Linked DNA regions of Drosophila melanogaster. The protein of the gene in region 1 interacts with the protein of each later gene in a pairwise test. Each region holds a gene or a part of one and is shown in the gene's direction. Other genes may lie near its edges.

Region 1 (7,472 bases):
TGCCAAGCAAGAGCTAGAGCAGCATTTGCTGGCCCACAGCGATCAGGAGCCGGAGGATCAGGATCCGAGCTATGTCTGCGCCTATTGTGAGTATCGTACGTCGGAGGAGACTATGCTCCAACTGCACCGTGCGGTGCACATGTCCCACTACCAGGAAAAGTGCCAGGAGCTCTATAGGAACTGCAAGGAGGATGTCGAGTATCCGGCACCCAAGTTGCTGCAGCTGACTGGTCCCGAAACCATTTGGGTGGTGGATAACGAATTGAGCTTGCAACTGCTGCAGCAGACTACCGGCGGTGCAGTTAGTACCTCCACCGGTGGGTTTGACAACCAGAACTCTCTGCTCAAGAAGCAGCTGGAATCGGGCGGTGGTCAGATGGTCCCACTTCCCCTGAAAGTATCCGTTAACAAAAACGAGGCGGAAGTCCCCGAGGAGGACGAGGAGCGACATAGCAGCTCCACACCGTCGACCAGCGCTTCGGTGGCCACCAGTGATTTGGCCGCAGATGGCAGCAGTGATGCAGGATCCGTTGACATGCCCCAGTCCATTCCGGCACCGGAACGCTGCCTCCACTGTCCATTCGAGACGCAGCAGCACGAGGAGCTGATGCAGCATCTACAGAAGCACGCCTGCGTAAATCCTCCACCTCCGAACTGCCAGAAATGTGCCCATTGTGATTACAATGCCAATGAGGAGGCGGAAATGGAGGAGCACACGGCGCTGCATTTCAATGCTGGTGAGAAGCTCAAGTCCGTGGAGTTCTTTACCTGCTACGATCAGCTGGAGATCAGCGTTGAGCGGGAACCGGAAGAAACCGCTGACTCAAAGGTGGAGCAGACCGAGCACAACAACAACCAGGACAATGTGATGAACGCCAATGTGCAGCAGCAGCAGCAACAGCAGCCAAGCAGCAGCGGCCCAGATGAACAGCCAGCTGTCGAGGGAATGGAGGAGTCGTCGGCCAAAAAGTCCAGCACAAAGTTGATTCTGTACAAGAACGATGGCGGCTTGAGTGTGAAGCTCTCCCAGGATGAGGGCGCCAATTCAGAGTCCCAGAAGAGCGAGAATATCAGCGATCGCCTGCGCAGAAGGATCCTTCGGGGAAGTGCCAACCAGTCGGAGGACGCCACTTCCACCTCCGGCCAGGAGCGACCCGCAACACCGGAAAAAATGATACTGGTCAATGCCCAGACGGGCAAAGTCATTTCCAGAAAGTAGGCCACATCCAAGGGTCGAACCTTTTATTTAATTTAATCCATAATTTATCCAACTAAGCTTATGGTTATTTTTCGATTTAAGTGAGTTTTGGTTTTGTTAATATTTTGTTGTTGCTTATGCTTTTCCATATTTTTTTTTGGGTATGCGTTAGTGGAGTTGGGGATTCGTTTTAGGCACCTGTTTTGGGATTTCTATTGTCACTAACACACACCCACTTATACACACCTAGTTGGAACATGTTCCTGCACTTTTACGTTTTTTCTAGAACCTAAGGTAATTAAGTAACGATAATTTATAAACAAAAAAGGAATGAAATACCATTATTCGAATACTTTGCAAATGGGATAAGCCGGAATTCTTAATGTAATTACTTGCTAGAACGGTGCAAAATGTAATTTAAACTAATCGTATTGTAACTTATCAAAGAGATAACTATAGAAGGCATTTTAATATAGAACCTATATATATATATTTACCATCGGCTTAATATATTAAATTGGAAAACCAACCCAATCCGAGCAAGATCCAAAAGCGTTTCAAGGAAATCAACTTTGTACAGGAGAAAAAGAGATAAATTCAAAATTATGTCTTGCTACAAATAATTCGTTTAATTTTTCGAATGGGAACTGTGATTATTGATAATTGTAAATGCAAAAAAAAAAAGAAATAAGAAAGTGAGCGCGTATATCATGCAATGAATATGGTACTATATACATACTATATAAATCTATACATATATATATATTTACACACAGCTGCTGCAAAAATAAAAACTATAGAAACAAAAAGAAACACATTTAAAATGCAATTGAAAAATCAACAGAGAATAGGGAATTTTTTGCAATATTTGCAATATTATTTTGTACAAGTGCAGCACACATTTAAAATTAGTTAATAGTAATTAGTTTCTACTACGGATTAGTTATGTTCTCATCATTAGTGCGAATGTTTTCCAGCAAACGGCGTCTTTGTAGCACAGTGTAGGCGTTAACACTACAAACAAAATGTTATCATTAAACTATAAGCAAACAAAAAGAACACATGTGGAATAGCGGGGCCATATTTAAATAGTTTAAACTTAATGCAAGGAAACATTTGAAAACAAAGCAAATCAAAACCAGAAGATATAGCGCAAACAAGCGATATGTATACAGAATCTAACTTGGATATAAATGCAAACCGCCTTTGATATGCATATATACATCTTATATCGATACGAATATCTATACACACAATATATTATATATTAAATAGTCCTTAACATTGAACTACATTTAAACTTAAAGCTAGTGTAAATAACTTAGTTTTGTTTACTGCGCACACAACCACACGCAACACTTACACACACCACACAAACACACAATAAGATTTACGGCATTGAATTACAAAAGAGAAAATGTACAAAAACAATTGTTAATAAAGAAATCAAATAAAAACAACACAAGTTGCATTTACAATTGACCGATTATCTGTATGTTTGGTACTTCTATTTAAAAAAGAAATCGAATAATTGGGTTCAGATCTAAACGCCAAAAGTAGTTTCTAAAAATTCAAATCATAATGCAAAATAGTTCATTGACTTCTATTAAATTGAAAGCACTTCAACATTTTTCTTTTTTCTTTACTGAAATCAAACATCAAAATCAAGCATTCTTTTTTAACGGAATTTTAATTTGAAAGGTAGCCTGCGTAACGGTATAGCGGTATATCAATTTAAAAGTGACTTTCAAGATACGGCAACTCTGTGAAACGATTGAATGTGGAACAAAAGATTATTTTACTCTTTTTCTTTTAATTAAAGAAAAAATAATAATAATCAAAAAGGGATATGCAATGCTATTCCAGATTACTCTTACTGAGATACTTAAATAATAACTCTCCAAATAATCAAAAGAGCCAAAGAAAATATAAAATCATATATACTATTTAGCTCCCTGTTGCAATTCCAATCGTTTCACAATCGCTGCCAAGTCAGCTACGCAAATTTGAGGGTATATTTCATAGTTGTCGGTACGGTAACACTGAGAAAGCCGTTTTGTTGAAAGATTACAAATGAATTGCGATGCATTTAGCTAAAATTGAACTTTAGCAGAGCCGCAAAACGATAGAGAGCCAACGCAGAGAACACGGAGCCACCCAAACACATGGATACCAAGTCCAATGATGACTCGGCTGGCAGTGACTCGCTGGACAAATCTATGCAAATCAAGTGTGTGATGGTGGAGACAACGACGACGGGCGACGGAGACTCCACAGTCGGAGATCTGGACAACTGCAGCAGGGATTCCGCTGCGGAATCGATTAACAAGGAATCCGGTTCGATGGAGGGAGCCGGCAAGCAGACGGATCACAAGACTGAAGCTGCGGCGGGGTCGTGCGGCGAGGGCGACAGTCCGCAGAGCAGTCAATCCCCACCAGAACATCCGGCCAGCAAATCGCCCACATCTCCATGCACTGCCTTCGAGACGAAAGTCAAGCTTATATCACAGAACCTCAAGGAAACCACGCTGGCGGAGAGCACCGGCGCCTCCGTATCAGCATCCACATCCACATCAACACCCACGTCCGCCTCTAGTAGCATCAGCGGCAGCATGCTGGAGTCGCAGCAGACACCCAGCCAGTCCACCCCCGAAACAACAGATTCCGCCTCGTCGTCCGTGCGCGTGAAGAAGGTACGCTTCCATCCGGACGTCAAGGAAAACGACGGCGGGAACTGGATGAAAAGAAAGCGACGCTCCATGCATACCAAACGAACCTCCTCGCCCAGCGGCGCTAACTGTGATGGCATGGAGCTGGACGGTGAGTACGAGGACAACGATGACGATGAGCAGGAGGAGGCGGAGGAGGAGTTCGATCTGGCCAAGACAATCGCCGAGGCGGAGGATTACCTCAAGCAGCACCCGTTGACATACGTGCAGCGCGTCGAACAGAACGGCGAGCGGCTGCAGGATGGACTGCTCAGCATCGAGGATATGCTAAACGAAGTCGGCGAGGAGGTGGTCACCGAGTACAACGACGAGGACTTCTTCAGACGCATCAAGCCCGAGAATGGCATTGAACGCATTCTGGGCAAGGAGACCAAGGCGGGAAAGGTACGTTTGCAATACGAAAGCAATAAACTATCAGTACGGTTTAGGGTTCACAAATTTTCTATGAATTCGATTACAGTTTCATTTACAACACATTGTTGGTTTATTCATATCATATTTAGTAAACAAAAATTCTAAGCTGGAAAAGGTTTGCTATATGACTTTTGCTTTTACAAAATAAATAAGCCAAAGATCAGCTTTCTTTACTTTGTAAAGCGAAGGAAAACTTTTAAACAGTCTGAATCTTATGTAGTTTGCCCTCTATCCCAATTGTAGGTATCATTTAATAACCTTAATATCCTTGCAGGTTGAATTCCTTCTGCGCTACGAGAACCAAGGCGGACTCTTCTGGCAATCGGAGGAGTTCATCAAGCGCACGTGCCCCTCGCTGCTCAAGGCCTACGAAATGAATCGAGAACGACGTCAGCAGCGCTTGGTTAGTCCTTATCCTAATTAAAACCACATATAATGCCAGTTTGTAATTCAAATGCTTGTGTTTTGCAGATGCATCACGTTGCCAAAAGGCAGAGTCTGCGACAGCGATACACGGATTTCTAGTAGCGGTTACTTAGGTATTAGGTTCATAATTAGGTTCCACATAATTGTAACATTTTTGTAAAATGAAGTAAATGATTTTCTTTTGTTGAACAAAAATAACTAAACAACACTTGCTTTTCATTATGTGTCATGAGGAATATAACCATTTTGGTAGGCCTAATTTTTGATTTCCCATCGTTAATCAGTTCGCACCTAGTAATTCAGCGATATTTAAATATTTTCAAACGACAAACAAACAATAGTTTCAGATATTTTCAAACTAGTTCTCTTAGAGCAAAAAGGATATATAAATTGGGTATAGATGCTTAGAGAACATTATTGCAATTAAAGGCAAAAACAAAAGTGCAAATTTAAAATTACAAATAGTATTCAAATGATTCACAACTTTTCGGATGTTTAACGAAATTTTAAATTCGATAATGAAATCATAAAAATATGAGGGCCCTGCAAGGGTTAAAGCAACTATCGGCGAACATTCCATCTTTAAGTGTGACCACGCCGCGGCCAGTGTGACTGTCGGCCACCAGACCAAACTGAAACACTGTTCGTCGACTGACGCGAAACCCAAAAATTATAAGTAATTCAATTGGAGGAAAGTTCGGAGGTCTGTATTTCTTGAGCCCATCGCCTGGCCAGTGAAGCATTTGTGTCGATATACGGATCGCATTCGGGCGATCCCCACATAGATATAGCCAGCCGAGGGCCGATAACCAATCCCCACGAAGCTCGCAGAACAAAAGAGAAATTTTTTGCGTGGTCACCACCAGACGTGGAATTGTTCGGGTGAATTGTCGAAACCATATAGAGTTCCGTAAAATGCAATAGTTACGGGCCGTAGCACAACCAATACGTTTTGCAGCAGGTGAAAGTCGGTCCGTAGAGTCAGGTAAGTGCGAATATATGTGCGGCGCAATCCTCGATTTTCCGTATTTCACACACCCTCACATCGAACCTATGTCCGATTATATATCCCACGATTTTGTGTACTTTATCCGCCGTCTCAAATGCGCAAATGAGCTGGTGATATCCCGTGCCGATCCGATCCTATTCGATCGGCTATCCCTAAACATTATATAAGGTTTCGCCATCCGATTCCGCATATGTTATGATATTGTTTACTGCACTTGTTTTGGGTGCAGTGCAGCGCCAGTGCTCGAGAAATCCTCTTCTAAAAATAGTTGCAGCCGTGCACTTTTTGTCAACCTCGGCCGATCTGCGTCCGCTTTTGATTCGCACACTGACTGTGTGCGGCAGGTCAGTTGTCCTGGTATGCTCCCAGCTATGCTGCACATCATCCATCTAGTGCGTAGTTGCGTAGCACAAAGAGAAACGGCCAATCCATCTGGTTTTGGCGATGGCGGCATTGTCTTCGCGTGAACTTGACGTTGACCGCTGGACTTTGTTTTAATTTTCTCTTTATTTGTTATTTTATTTATTTGTCGAGTGCGCGTGCTTTTGTTTGGTTCATTAACCCACATCATCGCCTCTTATTTTGCAGCAGCATCAGAAGAAGCGGCGGAAAAACTACGCCACAAACAAACAAAAACAGTGAGAGAGGCGAAAACAGATTTGGTAGCACAACTGCGCATTGTTTCCCAGAGTACCAGCGGATCCGAGAAATGCCGGAAGAAGAGCCGCCACAAAAGCCCATGGAGGAGGAGGAGGATGATGATCAGGAGCAGGATCAGGATCAGGACCACGAACAGGATCAGCACGAACAGGATCAGCAGCCCCAGTTAGCGCAGGGCGAGATACCCGGTCAGCAACTGCCTGAGCAACCCAACCCCGATGTGCAGCCGCAACAGCCGGCCGAGTCTGTGGTGGTCACCGAATTATCCGCAGAAGAGGTATATCGTTTTCGCAAACTTAATGAAGCAACAAAATATCATATTTAAAGTTATCTAAATCAATAATACAAGTAAACTATTTTGTAAAAGGAAAACGAACTTTAAACTATGATATACTTTAATTGGTAACAGCTAAATTGGTGAACTAACCTCTTTAATTCTTTCAGATGCGCGCCCGTCGTCTTCGGACTTTGGCTGCCCGAAGTGGCATCCAGTGTGCCCTGGCGCCCCTGACTACTACGCCACGGAAGCCGACCAACGTCTCTGGCGAGTCTCGACTGGTACGTGAGGCCACGCCCGGCGAAAAGGAGGTATCGCTGCCCACTTCGGCGCCCGCTTGGAGGGAACTGAGCGGAAAACCGGACATGGATGTGGAGATGAAGTCGGTGGTCTCGACACCAATGCAAGATGTGGATATGACGACAGCGCTCAGCCTGCCAACAGCCGAGGCCACCAAAAGGAGTGTGTTGCAGAGTTGCAAGATATCCGCTGGAAATGCCGAGTTGTCCATTGAAACTGTAGTCGGTCCAAAAAAAAGTGCGGATGAGCAAAACGAACAATTGCTCTCCCGCCTACTGAATGCCACGTGGAATGAGTACGGTAGCGGGTCCATCATTTGTGCCCAGAGTGCCAGCTTCCTGGAGCAGCAGCCACACCGCAGATTCGACTTCGAGTGCATTGTGGCCAATGTGCTCATGGAGGCTGTTTTGAAGATCTACAACGGTGAGCTGATCGAAGGAGATGGCGTTTCTGTTAAAG
Region 2 (5,712 bases), on another chromosome or scaffold:
AAAAAAGTTGGCCGCTGGCTGCGCGTCTGGCGGATATAAAAATAAAATAAAATCTATTAGGTGGCGAACCACCCCACATTTATGCGGCAATTTGTTGCTCCTTGATTGTGTCTGTGTGCGACGGGGTGTCCTTTCCGTATGTGCGTGTGTGTGTATGTGTAAAAATAAGTAAAGTAAAGTGTATCATTTTCCCATTTGGCGACCCCTTTTCGCATTTCGCCCCTGTACACAGGCACTTCTCGCACTTTGTCTCAATTCCCAAAACTGTCGCCCCGGCCGTTGCAATTTATGAAGATTTGTGTGTGGCCAGGATGCCAGCGCAGGGTGGGATGCCCAGGATGCAGGACTCTGAATATCACTGGCTCAGAAGCTCAGGGCTCAGCACTCAAGAGTCTTGGCCCACTCCCACTCCCACACGGTTTCGTTTCGACTGCACTTGTTTTGATTTGTTTGGAATAATAACAGATGCTTGCCGTTCATATTATTCATTGTGGAAATTATTAGCGCTTGACAATAAAAATGGCTATTTGAACAGCACTCGAAAGTGAGTGCGCCCCCTTACTCCCCCTCTCACCGACAATCCCCCGCCGCACAACACAAATTGCAATTTGTGCAAATATTTATGTACATTGAAAATTACTCATTTGTGTAACACCAATTAATTTCAACAAACAGCGGCGGGCGCACAACAATGGCCAAGCCATTTATAAAACTTGGCCGCTTGTTGTTGGTCCCTGTTGTCCTTGTTGTCCTTGCTGCCTTGCTGGTCAAACAAATGGGGGAAAATGAGGTCCTTTGTTTCCCCAAAATAAACGATGCCGCTGCTGTTTGAATGTTTGAATGTTTGCTTTGCGGTGCGCCAGCACACGATACACACTGTACAGTGGAGCCCTTCGCCAACAGCCGACAAAGCAGTTCAATCAGCTCGAACAGCTCGCTATTTATGTAATATACTTATGTGTACATATATATATGGTATATATATGGTATGTATGTGAAAAATGCGGGGTTATTGCCTCATTATTGGGACACTGGAAAATACCCTGTTTACACTGCCATTTTTCAAGTTGCGCCAACAAATTGCAGCTAATTAGTGGCCACACTAGCCGGGAAATCCGACGAAATAAGCTCATATACAATATACCAAAACCGGGGTGCACAGCAAATGGCACTCGGCAACTTCAAGTTTTCCACTCAATCAGAGATAATATGAACAAATGGGCGAGGGTCAGACGAGGGTCGGCACACTTTTCCAGGGGTGACCAACTTAAATAATACCTTTCTAGTACTGCAAACGCGGGATGTAAGACAGCTTATAAGGATGGTTAAGGTATCGTTTATTTTAGTTTAAAACCTAGAACATGCGAAGAAAATACAAATAAATGCGTTTATATAATATATATATTTTCTATTGTAAAAGTTTCTGAGAAATCACTATACCATCACATTTCCATGAAACACGAACTGGAACAATGCGATGTAGTCACTGACTTGTCTGTCGTCGATTTGTCATTCGTTTAGTCTTTGAAAAGTATAAAGGTCACCGTTCCGGAATCAAAATTTTTTTTAAAATTTTTAAGATACCGCAAAAGCGCGAATGTAGAGTATTAAAGTGCGTTTTAGTGAACAGCACATGTGTATCCGATCAGATCCTCAATTTTCATTAACTTCCGGAGAAGCGAAATCGAAAAAAAAAAAACACGATCTAAAGACGACTGCTAGTACAGCACGCAGAGGTCAAATGTCTAGATTCTAGAATTTAGATTACAACAGCTGGACTTTGCACACCACTAGAAGGAACTTAGAGAAGGTAGGGTAATCGATTTCAATCGATATAGCTAATCAAGCTGTCAAACCTTTTTCTTTTCACTTTTTCTAGAAGCGAGAATTTGTCCTACATTTTTATTAGGCATTTTGTGAAAGAATCAAAAGAAAAAAAAAGCTGAACGCTAAACAATTCACCGCCACATATCGAGAAGAAGCAATTCCATTCGGTTATGTTCTGGTATTGAGCACCTGGTATTGAGTAAATCGAAAAATTCACAAATCATCACAAAAAGTGCACGTCATCAGGACATACATTTTGCTGCACCCAAGAAGCTAAGTTTGTGACCCAAATAGACCAGCTCCGCCGAGGATCCAGTCCCATTCTCCAGACAGCCGCGATCTCAGGGTGAGTCCCTGACAAGCAGCCCCAACGGCGTCCCAGACGATTGTCCTATCCAGCCCGGACAACGCAGCCGCGGCCCCCAAGACCGAGGCCATGGCGGAGGTTCTCAATTTGGAGAGCATAATTTCCCGTCTGTTGGAGGTGCGTGGCGCACGGCCTGGCAAGAATGTCCAGCTGTCGGAGGGTGAGATACGGGGCCTGTGCCTCAAGTCGCGCGAAATACTGCTGGCACAGCCCATACTCTTAGAGCTGGAGGCGCCGCTCAAGATCTGCGGCGATATCCATGGCCAGTACTATGATCTGTTGCGTCTGTTCGAGTACGGCGGCTATCCGCCGGAGGCTAACTATCTTTTCTTGGGCGATTACGTGGACAGGGGCAAGCAGTCGCTGGAGACCATCTGCCTGCTGTTGGCGTACAAGATCAAGTATTCGGAGAACTTCTTTTTGTTGCGCGGCAATCACGAGTGCGCCAGCATTAATAGAATCTATGGATTCTACGACGAGTGCAAGCGCAGATATACCATCAAGTTGTGGAAGACATTCACGGACTGCTTCAACTGTCTGCCAGTTGTGGCCATTGTGGATGAGAAGATCTTTTGCTGCCACGGCGGACTGAGTCCGGATCTTACCTCGATGGAGCAGATCCGTCGTATTATGCGTCCCACCGATGTTCCCGATCAGGGACTACTCTGTGACCTGCTGTGGTCCGATCCGGACAAGGACACCATTGGGTGGGGCGAGAACGACCGTGGCGTTAGTTTCACCTTTGGCGCCGAAGTTGTGGTCAAGTTCCTCCAAAAGCACGATCTGGATCTGATCTGTCGTGCCCATCAAGTCGTCGAGGATGGTTACGAGTTCTTTGCCAAGCGCCAATTGGTCACTTTGTTTTCCGCCCCCAACTATTGCGGTGAATTCGACAATGCTGGTGCCATGATGTCCGTGGACAATACACTCATGTGCTCCTTCCAAATCCTGAAGCCTGTCGAGAAGCGCAAGAAGTAGAGGACAGCGAGATCTGTAGACGCTTCTAGATTTATTCTTATATATTGTAACACGCGGCACGCGACTCATTCACAATATCCTACACGAAATCGGTTCGAAATCATAATATCCACATACATCTCTAGTCAACCGGATCGAGGGAAATGGCTCAACTACAACGTATACCTCCATGGATCCTAACTGTCTTCAGAGGTATCCACTAGCCAATTCTTGCATATTGTATGATATGTGTAAGTTCACTGAGATTTGAACGCAGAGCTTATGCTTAGCTAATGCAAAATAACGCCATATGCGACTTTTACAAAAATAAACTTACATTTAAAATTTCAAGTGTTTTCATCTAATTGTTGTTTTTTTTCGATTTCCTAATTAATCTTGTCAGCTAGTTTATCCAACTCTTAATTTAAGCACCTTTCCCAAATGTGGAAGCCCTGAAAAGTGTGCTACGAATTCCGGCGGAGTGAAAAGTGGGTGATCCCCCTGAAAAAGAGATTCACCTCCATCTGTTCGTGTTCGGTGACAGAAGTCACCGCCATATTATATTAACAATGCTTAAAAATTAACAAAGCACACGCACACACATGCACACATGCACACGTAAAATGAGTGGGCGATATGGGGGCGTAAGAGAGAGGGAGCGAGCTGGCAGACAGACGACAAACAAAAAAACAGAGACAAAGATACAACAAATTGCGCCAAAAACGCTTTATTATGTCAAAACAAGATGAAAAAAAAAACAATAGAGAAAAGGAACCCAGTGTGGCAACAACAAATTACATTATATATATAATGAGGTCATTAGCGCGTAAACAATCAGAAAAGAAAGTGGGCAATGAAATACAAAGGGTGGGAGCGAGATGGCGGTAGAGCGTAAGGGAGACCAAAAAGAAAACAAAGTCACATGTTTATCAACAAACGGCAAATAAATAAATGTTCTTCGCAAATTTGTTAATAAATCATGAAGTTGACGACCCAAGTCGAAGAGAAAAATTTGAGCAAGTGAGAAGAACAGATTGTCAGGAGAGAAAAGTTCAGCGGCAATTCAGTACTCTTATTTATTTTTATTTCATAAATAGATAGCCCTATTTGTTTATTTAAATTATTATTTAATATGTTTATAAGAAGTATTGTTTAATATATTTAAATTACATTTTAACAATGGAAGATCTAACATTGACGTATGTATGTAGATTCTTATAGTTCATTAGGTAATCTGTTCTTTTGTTAAATATAATATTATTATCCTGACTACACCATATCTATTTAAGCTAATCTTTAATTTTAAATGCCAGTAAATGTGGTAACATTATTCCAACTAAGCTACCAAATTTAATATTCAACTTACTGGCCAAATCCGGACTCTCTTTGCATTTCCAAGAGTATTTCTTGCTTAAAATGGCGTCCTTATGCACACACACACACTCGCACGAAAGGGATATGTGTGTGTGAGATGCTCGGTGTTTGTCGCTGCTGCAGAGCAGATACCTATATATGTGTATATTTCTATATGGATACACGGATATATATGTACATGTTGCAGTAGAAAGGAAATCAATGCAGACAACATTTGGCAATTTGGTAGCAGTGCAATTGTTTTCTCTTTTTCCGGTTAGCTACTCGCATTTATTTGTATCCTTTTTGCTGCAAATTGCCTTCTATTGTTGCATTTGATTTGTCCTCTGGACGAAAAAGAGGTGGAGATATATGGCATGCCACACCCACACACCCATGCACACACACACACACACATACATACTCACTCCGCCATCTCGCTCTGGCTCTAAAGTTTTGTATCTGGGATTCATTGTTTCGTATGCACTGGAAGAAATTTAAGTATCTCTTCATCTACAAAACATTGGTTTTTTATATAAGCGATTTATAAAAAATGTTAAAAGTTATTAATTAGAAATTAGGCACATTTTTTCTATTATATTGTAATAATCTTCAAATATATTTATTTTTTTCTTTTTTTTTTTTTGATCACTCAAATATTGATCTACTATTTAGAAACCTTTGTTAAAATTTCAAACTTTAATATTATATATTTCAAATTATATATTTTTTGAGTTAGTTATAGTACAATATTTCAAAACCTTGTGCAGATTTATACATTAATATCAAATCATTTTGTTAGCTAGAACTCAAAGGCTAAATTTAAATAATTTGTTAATCATTTCGGTTTTAATATTATTAATATTAAAATAAAGTCTTTAAACTCAAGCTCATAATGATATAATTTTTGTGTTCATAATATAACTGAACTTGTGCATTTCTTTAATAGTAAGCATTTTTCCGTTTTTTTTTTCTGACGTCTTTCTTCAGCTTTAAGTTACAGATTAGCATCCTTTGGTCGCCTTTGAATAATTTTATTAATTACAAATTATGCGCCTAATGAAATGGCCAGCAGAGGGTGTGTTGGTGATGTGGGTGGCTCTGCGGGCGGATTCCATGGCCATATCCTTCGATGCTGACGTTGACGGTGGCGTTAACGTTAACGGTAAAGTTAACGCTGGCAGCGACATCGGCACTGCCCACATGAA
Region 3 (7,945 bases), on another chromosome or scaffold:
AAGAGGCTGGAGGGCCTGAGCCACGCACTCGAGCAGAGTAAACAGGCATCCGCCAGCACGCCTCCGCTGGAAGATCGGGTGGCCACGCCGTGTCTGGAGGATCTGGAGCGCATACTCACTGAGAAGGTGGCAGAGATTGGAAAGGTCAGCGCACACAGGCTGGAAGAGGTGGTCTATCACCTTGAGGAGGGCTACAAGGAGAAGCTAGGGGCACTGGAGCGAGAGCTCAAGCAGCTGAGTGTTCAAAAGGTGCAGCCAGAGCCTGTGCAGACTGTGCCAGTTGCCTCGAAAATACCCAAGCCGGTGGTTCGCAAGGAGGAAACCAACATTGATCGGATTCGCAAGCAGGTGGAGAGCGAGTTCCTCAAACAGAAACATGACGATGACACCTATTCCATTGAGGAGGCGCCACGAAAAGGTTCGGAGAAACCATTCCCACAGCTGGTGACCCAAGTTCAAGTGGTGGAAAAGGAGCAGCCAAGTGCTGGAAGTTCGGACAGCAATCCGACTTATACGAAATCTCCAAGGGAACCTGCTCCTAATAAGCAGGAAACGAAAGAAGCCACGGACGTAAGCGATAGTCTCAGCCAAGAAGAGACGGAGAACGAAGAGGAGCGCAGCCTGACAGAGGAGGAGGGGACCGATGTTCCCACCTCCGGGTCGGAAGCAGCACGAGAGGATCCAACGCCAAAAACAATCAAGCCTTCTGGAAGAATCATCAAGTGAGTGTTTCGATGTTAAGCTTTCTTAGAGTAATAATAATCCACATGTTTTAAGGAGCCCTCAAAAACCACTTACTCGCAAGGATGCCCGGAAGATGGTCAACCGGAAGTTGATGTCTCACGGCTTCGATATGAAGTCCAAAGGTATTTCGCATAACTCTTTGAAGAGAGTGAACTCCGAGCTGACAGAGCACCGCAACAAACTGAAACTGGTAAGCCTATAACTGCCAAAAACTAATGAACTTTTGACAATTCTGGAATACCCTTTAGCAACATCCACATTTTTACGCCACTCGAAATCGCATCCGCAAGTTTGTCGAAAAACTGTGCTCCGCCAAGTTCTCGGAACGCGCGGAAATGTTGCTGAAGCACAAGAGTCCACTCAAGCCAATGGAGGTTCCAGGCAAAGGGATCCCGAGGTCTGCGATCTCTGAAAAGTCTGAAGAGGATATAGCCAGCTCTCAAGGCGAAGAGCAGACGGATGAGCAAACGGATAGCAGCGAACAGCAAACTCGAAGCCCCAGTCCTCAAAGACTAGTTAGTCGCGATTTCAAGGCTCGTCTGGAGGAGATCCTGGTCAAGCCGGCGGCCACTATTCGAGGAGCTTCCAAGTCGTCCCTGAGTTCGAGGCCAGTTCCGCTGCCCAGGAAGCGGGTGATGTTCAACACCACGGAGGACGGGAAGAGCTTCAATGACAGCGATGATAACCTAAAATGAGTCAATAAAGATGATATTATAATACTTTGGGTATAAATGTCAACGATACGTTTAATAGCCAATATATCATAAGATAATTATATTCCTTTATGAGTACCTATCACCTGTTCAATGTACCGTACTTAACTAAAAAATATTGTTTTTTAAATGAATTTGCATATTCCGGTCACACTACCTTTTACCGATAGCTGCGCGCCGTGCAATGGATAGGCAATCGATAGGCAATCGACTCGCGCTGTAAACAATCGACGTCACTAACCAACGTAGATGAAAATTTTTTAGTACGTCGCGAGTAAAACGTGCATTAAATGCAATAAAAGGGCAGCTGGCTAAGGATCGGAACGATTGAAGTCAGCCAACCTCAGAGGGGTGAGCAACCGAGGCAGTGAATCCGCGAATCCGTGCATCCAGCTGACCAAAGGGCGAGATTAGCCCAGCACCGAGTTTCCATCCGCACACGGACACGGCGCACACACACACAGGCACACGCAGCCCGTGCCCATCGATGAAATAACATACATAACGAACGTATACCGAAAATACACGGGTTACGGGAAATAGCAGTTGCTGCAATCGGCGGATAAGCGAACTTCAGGAAGCTGAGCAAGCGGGCCCACAAAGATGTCGGATATCATGAACATCGACAGTATCATCTCGCGCCTGCTGGAGGGTAGGTGTTAGGGCTCCAACTTTTGATTACCTTGCCCCCACCCATCATCACCCATTCCCCACATGCCTTGCCACCCAACCACCGCCCACTCTCATCACCTTAACGTAAATTTTCCCTGCTTGGTTTTCCATTGCAGTGCGCGGTGCACGACCGGGAAAGAATGTTCAGCTATCAGAGAGCGAGATCCGCAGCCTGTGCCTCAAGTCCCGCGAGATATTCCTGTCGCAGCCCATACTCCTGGAGCTGGAGGCACCGCTGAAGATCTGCGGCGACATACACGGACAATATTATGACCTCTTGCGCCTGTTCGAATACGGCGGCTTTCCGCCCGAGTCAAACTACCTGTTCCTGGGCGACTATGTCGATCGCGGCAAGCAATCCCTGGAGACGATATGCCTGCTGCTGGCCTACAAGATCAAGTACGCGGAGAACTTCTTCTTGCTGCGCGGCAACCATGAGTGCGCCAGCATCAATCGCATCTACGGGTAAGTGGGGAGGCGGCTCCAAAAACAGGATGAAGCTTGATGAAATGGTTAGCAATCTGTTCAGTTCAGCACCGAAACAATTTGCTTTCCTGCTTAGATTACTGAAACTCATTTGATTACAATTTATATTATTCTTACGACTCGTATTTACTTCTGATGACTATGTACTTTTATACATGCTATAGAACTTATAGTTGTTTATTGTTTACGTGAGCTTTAAAAATTTCCCAGACATATTGATGTCTACTTATGCTTCCAAGCTTATTAATACTTTCTAGTTTATTGACGCACACAACGATATCCATTACAATTAAATTAGCCATACTTCAAATACATAAAGTAAATGCCACATTCTATAGCAATAATCCATAAAATTACTCAACTAATTGCACTTAATTGGCAGGTTCTATGACGAATGTAAACGTCGCTACACCATCAAGCTGTGGAAAACTTTCACGGACTGCTTCAACTGCCTGCCGGTGGCCGCCATCGTGGATGAGAAGATCTTCTGCTGCCACGGTGGCCTGAGTCCAGATCTGTCGTCCATGGAGCAGATACGACGCATCATGCGTCCCACAGACGTGCCCGATCAGGGACTGCTGTGCGATCTGCTGTGGTCGGATCCGGATAAGGATACCATGGGCTGGGGCGAGAATGATCGCGGCGTGAGCTTCACATTTGGAGCAGAGGTGGGTTCTTCGCATTACACTGTTCGCCACAATGTTGTTTATGCATTCGCTCTTGCAGGTTGTGGGTAAATTTTTACAGAAGCACGAATTTGACCTGATCTGTCGGGCTCATCAGGTAGTGGAGGACGGTTATGAGTTCTTCGCCAAACGTCAGCTGGTGACGCTCTTCTCGGCGCCCAACTACTGCGGGGAATTCGACAACGCGGGTAAGTGATCATTGTTCGGGGACTTTAGTCGGAGATAAACCTTGTTTATTTGGAGAACAACCACGTTGCACCCTTGTACTCGGTGATTTTGCCTGCCGATAAGCTGTCGGCAAGTGAAAGCTGGCAACCAGATTTAAATTCAACTCGGAAAATGCGCATTTAAAAATAATCAATAATCAATACCGAGAATGAAACTACCTATGCACGACACCCGCTTCTAATGAATTGATTAATCATTATTGATTACGTTTACAGGTGCCATGATGTCCGTGGACGACACATTGATGTGCTCCTTCCAGATATTGAAACCCGCCGACAAGCGACGATTTGTTTATCCCAACTTTGGCAGCTCAGGACGTCCTTTGACACCGCCACGCGGAGCTAACAATAAAAACAAGAAAAAATAAACACTGCACACCTCGAACGAAGCACAACAACAACAGCAACTACAAACGGCCACACACACAAAACACAAATAGGGAAAACAGAAAGGAGAATCCGTGTGTCCACATTCAACGGAAAGCGCAGAGAGTTTGTTTTTATCATAAACGTGTAATCGAATCGTGAGCAACGTTATATGGGGAATATGAATCTACACAAATTAGCCTATCTTTCATTTGAAAAGGAAAAAAAAACAAAAACAAATAAGGAAAACGAAACGAATGAAATGAAATTAAGAAACCAGAAAACACAAATCGAGACACTTTAGTTCAAACTAATGGTAGTGTAAGACACTGCATAAGCAAGAATATTTTATCTCCTAATGTATTAATTTTGTTATAATATTTCCTTGCGCAAAACCCACACACTCACACACACACACACACATACACATGCTCAGATCATCCGTACAGTAGGTACCATAAGTGCACGCACCGGTTGTATTTTAATTTGCATTTCCAACTCGCACAGCATTTTAATTATGTATGCCGATCCTGGCGGCACCTTTGGCAAAGGTCTTTAACCACACTTCCCTTCTTCCTTGTTTTTTTTTTTTGCGTATCTAAGGGAATATTAGCAAATGGTAACAATGTTAAATTTTATGTTAATTAAACTGTACGAGAATGCTTTTAAATGTGAGTTGAGGTTACTACATATTACATATGTATGTACTCGAAGCACGATTTATTTTTGTAATATTTGACATCGATACATGTTTACTTAGTTTTAAAACGAGGAAAGCAATTTTAGTTGCAAGCTACAAAAGCTTGAATTGTTTACACCAAAAATATTAAAATAAACAAATATTGTGAATATTTTTTAACTGTTTGCATTACACAAACACACACATACAGGCAAGCACGCACACACGATTTTAAGGAGAACCCTGAAAAGTATGTTTATATAGACAAAAATAAACCCGAATTGAAAATCTACCTTAAGGCGAACGCTTTTGAGCGGCACTGTGTGCTCTCTGCTGATGTCAGCGACGAGGCAGATAATGTTACCCCCTTTTAATCCCCCGCCCAGACGAAAGGAAAGCAGCGGCCCCAGACCCATTAAGTGCATGTGAAACTCACACGAAATATAGAAAAAAAAATCGAAACAAAAATAAGCAAGTAATAAAATATTTGTAAACAGCAGCGCAACAAACACAGACACAAACACTGTTTATCGTACAAGTGTACACTTTTGTGTATTTTGCATTCTACGACTAACGTCGCAACATTCTAGTGCTAAAGGCCGCCACATTCAATTACAAGTATTATGCCCAGGCAGGCAGGCAGCGATCCGGAGCGATGCAGCCGGACGCAAGTTACCCAAAATGGTTTCGTTTGTATAATCCAATCCAATCCAATCCCCGCCCGACAACCAAGCAACCTACTAACAACAATCGTGTAACCTACGGACAAAAAAAAAAAAACAAAACCAAAAGCAAAGCATGAGTCCTCTTCTATTTCACACTCTAGTACTCTGTTCAATGTTGTAATGAATTCAACGTATATTTACGACTATATATGTACTTGTAATAATGCGATCCAGTACGACATCGGCTGTTTTCAACCCCCAAAAAACACAAGTCATAAGAAATCTATAACGTAATATCGTAAAATTAAAGTGTAATTGACCCCAAGAAGGAAATTAGAAAAGACAGATGGGGTAAATTTATAATGCATTCAAAGCGTAAATTGCAAAAAAAATAAAATACAATAAAAAAATAACAAACAAAAAAATCATTTAAAAAAGAGCTAAAAAATGAAACAAAAAAATACAAATTAAACAAAATGAACACAATGACGAAGCACTTGTAACAAAATAGCACTGTTTTATTAAAAAAAAAATTGAAATACATACTAGCAATAAATATGAAATTCGAGATGTGTTTTTACTTGAGTGAAATGCATGTTAGTTTCTTGTTTAAAAAAGCAAATCTATTATTTATTGTCTATATAGTTGGTGTTACAATCTAAAGCATTTCGAGGACTTTAAAATCTTATTTATAACTTTACTTTATGTTGCTTAATATATTGCACTAAATTTACTTTGTATAGCACTTTGTGTTTAGTTATATCGCAGTGAGCAACTCTTTCCCAAAGGAGCACATGTGCCACCCGTGCCCCTGCCATGTCGCTCATCCTCCTGGAGCCTCAGCTGGAGCAACTTCTGCCTTAAGGCATAAGGTGTGGTGGTGGTGCTGCTGCTGCTGCTCCTCGTCACTTCCTGTTGCCTGCTCTCATTGGCGCGATCTTTGTTCCACTTGTCCGAGTTGTTGAAAATGATTTTATCATATGCCCGCTGCAGGCGCAGCTTATCCTGGCGGACATCACTGAAGCATTCGCTTGTGTTCATCAGGCGGAAGTGCTGCAGGGCCTTCAGTTGCTGCAGCTCATCGTTCGCCTGTTGTTTGGGATACTGAACTGGGCGTGGCGATGGCGTCGAGTTGCCACTGTAAACCTGACCCTGACCTTGGCTCCTCTGGCGACTGGCGACGCATGCGCTCTGCTCGTAAAGGCGACGATTGTCCGTGTACCTTTCATGATGGTTCGTGTTCGAGGTGTCAATACCTCCTGTTCGTTCCCAGCCCCATCGCAAAACCTTGGCCCTGCTCTGCTGACGTTGCTGGGAGGAGCTGCAGCTGCAGCTGGAGCAGTGACTCACCGTGGTGGCTGTGGAGTTCCGGCGACTGAAGTCATTGACCAACTCGGTGCTGGAGTGGCCTAGGCCAAATCTGGGCTGGTTCTTTACGCTCGGACGTTTTATAAATTGGGTGGGTCGTAGGCTTTGTCTGGAAGAAGAGGTCACCGACCTGAGATCGCCACGTGGATGATGATCTCGATTGAGCGCAAGATGTTGCGACTGCCGCTCACTTCCCGATCTCATTACGCCACAATAGCATTTGTGCATTTTGGAAACTATTGCGTCTAGATTTTCCGATGATTTCAGTGATAATTACTTATCTTTCAGATTATTCTATTCCCCAAACTGATTGCGTGCCCGATGAATGTTGAGAGACTACTGGCGACAACCGGTTTCCACACTTATGGTCTGGTACTTTATCACCAATCATCATACCATATGTATATACCGTTAGCCGGCTCAGCTAAGCACTCGCATATCGTTTGTTTATATTTGAACAACAATTGCAACAGTTTCCATAGACACATGTCGAGGTCCTTGGGCCGTTTATTTTTGGCCAAACACTTGCTGGCAGACTCATGTCCACACGCATACAAGTGGATGCCTAAGCCCAGTTGGACAAAAAAATGTGCTGGCCAAACGAAAGACTTAGGCAACAAACTTGAATTCGGTACCATGAGTTCAATCGTAGAATTACAATCAAAGAATAGTGTTGTAAATGATCAAAAGAGATTGATGGGATGAAGCAGAGCGAATTTAAAGAATCAAAAGCAAAAGGTATAATTTTTTTGATTTGATTTGATAGTTAATATATACATTGTGATTTGCATTGTTATTATACATTTTTAAAAAGGAATGAAAGTGAAAATCCTAAATATATAAACACATGCTTGCAACTAAGATTTCATCTTTGGATTTTTCTGAAAATTTTTGATTTCCCAATTACCTATTTTACGGACTTCCAGTTTTAATGATGCCCGTTAATCCAAATTGTGCATTTAATTTAGCGGTAGCCACCCATAAGATTAGCCAATTCGCTTAACCCAAAATTAGTTTTCCCATTTGTGCAAGAATTCGACTGTTGTGATTTCAGCACACCAAATGTTGCCAAATATTGACCCAATAAAAACTAGTTCCTGTGCACTTGTAGAATGTACGCTAAGTCCGCTCAAGTGTCCGGCTTAAGTGGTTCGATTTGACTTCCTCGAAGAGAGCGAAGCGTGAATATCGTATAAGCCATATATACCCCATATTATGGCCATAAATTATGTTGACAACCAGGTAAGGTTCAATGAACCGCATAGCGGGGGAAAATTAAATCGAAAGGGCAAACAACAGCAACGAACAGGGTTGCTGGGTGGCTCGGTCATTGGTCGTT

Evidence for each region. Proteins that work in one complex are often made in the same cells at the same time.
Region 2: the proteins of CG9933 (region 1) and Pp1-13C interact in a two-hybrid assay, tested with the Drosophila melanogaster proteins (one study listed by BioGRID).
Region 3: the proteins of CG9933 (region 1) and Pp1alpha-96A interact in a two-hybrid assay, tested with the Drosophila melanogaster proteins (2 studies listed by BioGRID).

What each region holds. Positions count from the first base shown.
Region 1 is NT_033779.5:13,017,070-13,024,541, reverse strand, and holds CG9933 (uncharacterized protein), read left to right. Parts: upstream 1-3,229; 5' UTR 3,230-3,363; coding exon 3,364-4,311; intron 4,312-4,615; coding exon 4,616-4,744; intron 4,745-4,812; coding exon 4,813-4,866; 3' UTR 4,867-4,967; downstream 4,968-7,472. Other genes in the region: CG9932 (uncharacterized protein), read left to right, coding at 1-1,219; Ube4B (ubiquitination factor E4B), read left to right, coding at 6,486-6,713, 6,881-7,472.
Region 2 is NC_004354.4:15,356,889-15,362,600, reverse strand, and holds Pp1-13C (protein phosphatase 1 at 13C), read left to right. Parts: upstream 1-1,539; 5' UTR 1,540-1,810; intron 1,811-1,879; 5' UTR 1,880-2,263; coding exon 2,264-3,172; 3' UTR 3,173-3,500; downstream 3,501-5,712.
Region 3 is NT_033777.3:24,516,599-24,524,543, forward strand, and holds Pp1alpha-96A (protein phosphatase 1alpha at 96A), read left to right. Parts: upstream 1-1,671; 5' UTR 1,672-2,060; coding exon 2,061-2,109; intron 2,110-2,245; coding exon 2,246-2,594; intron 2,595-2,997; coding exon 2,998-3,283; exon of another isoform or gene 3,284-3,341; coding exon 3,342-3,489; intron 3,490-3,744; coding exon 3,745-3,896; 3' UTR 3,897-5,733; downstream 5,734-7,945. Other genes in the region: DZIP1, read left to right, coding at 1-722, 778-934, 993-1,439; CG13622 (uncharacterized protein), read right to left, coding at 5,992-6,834.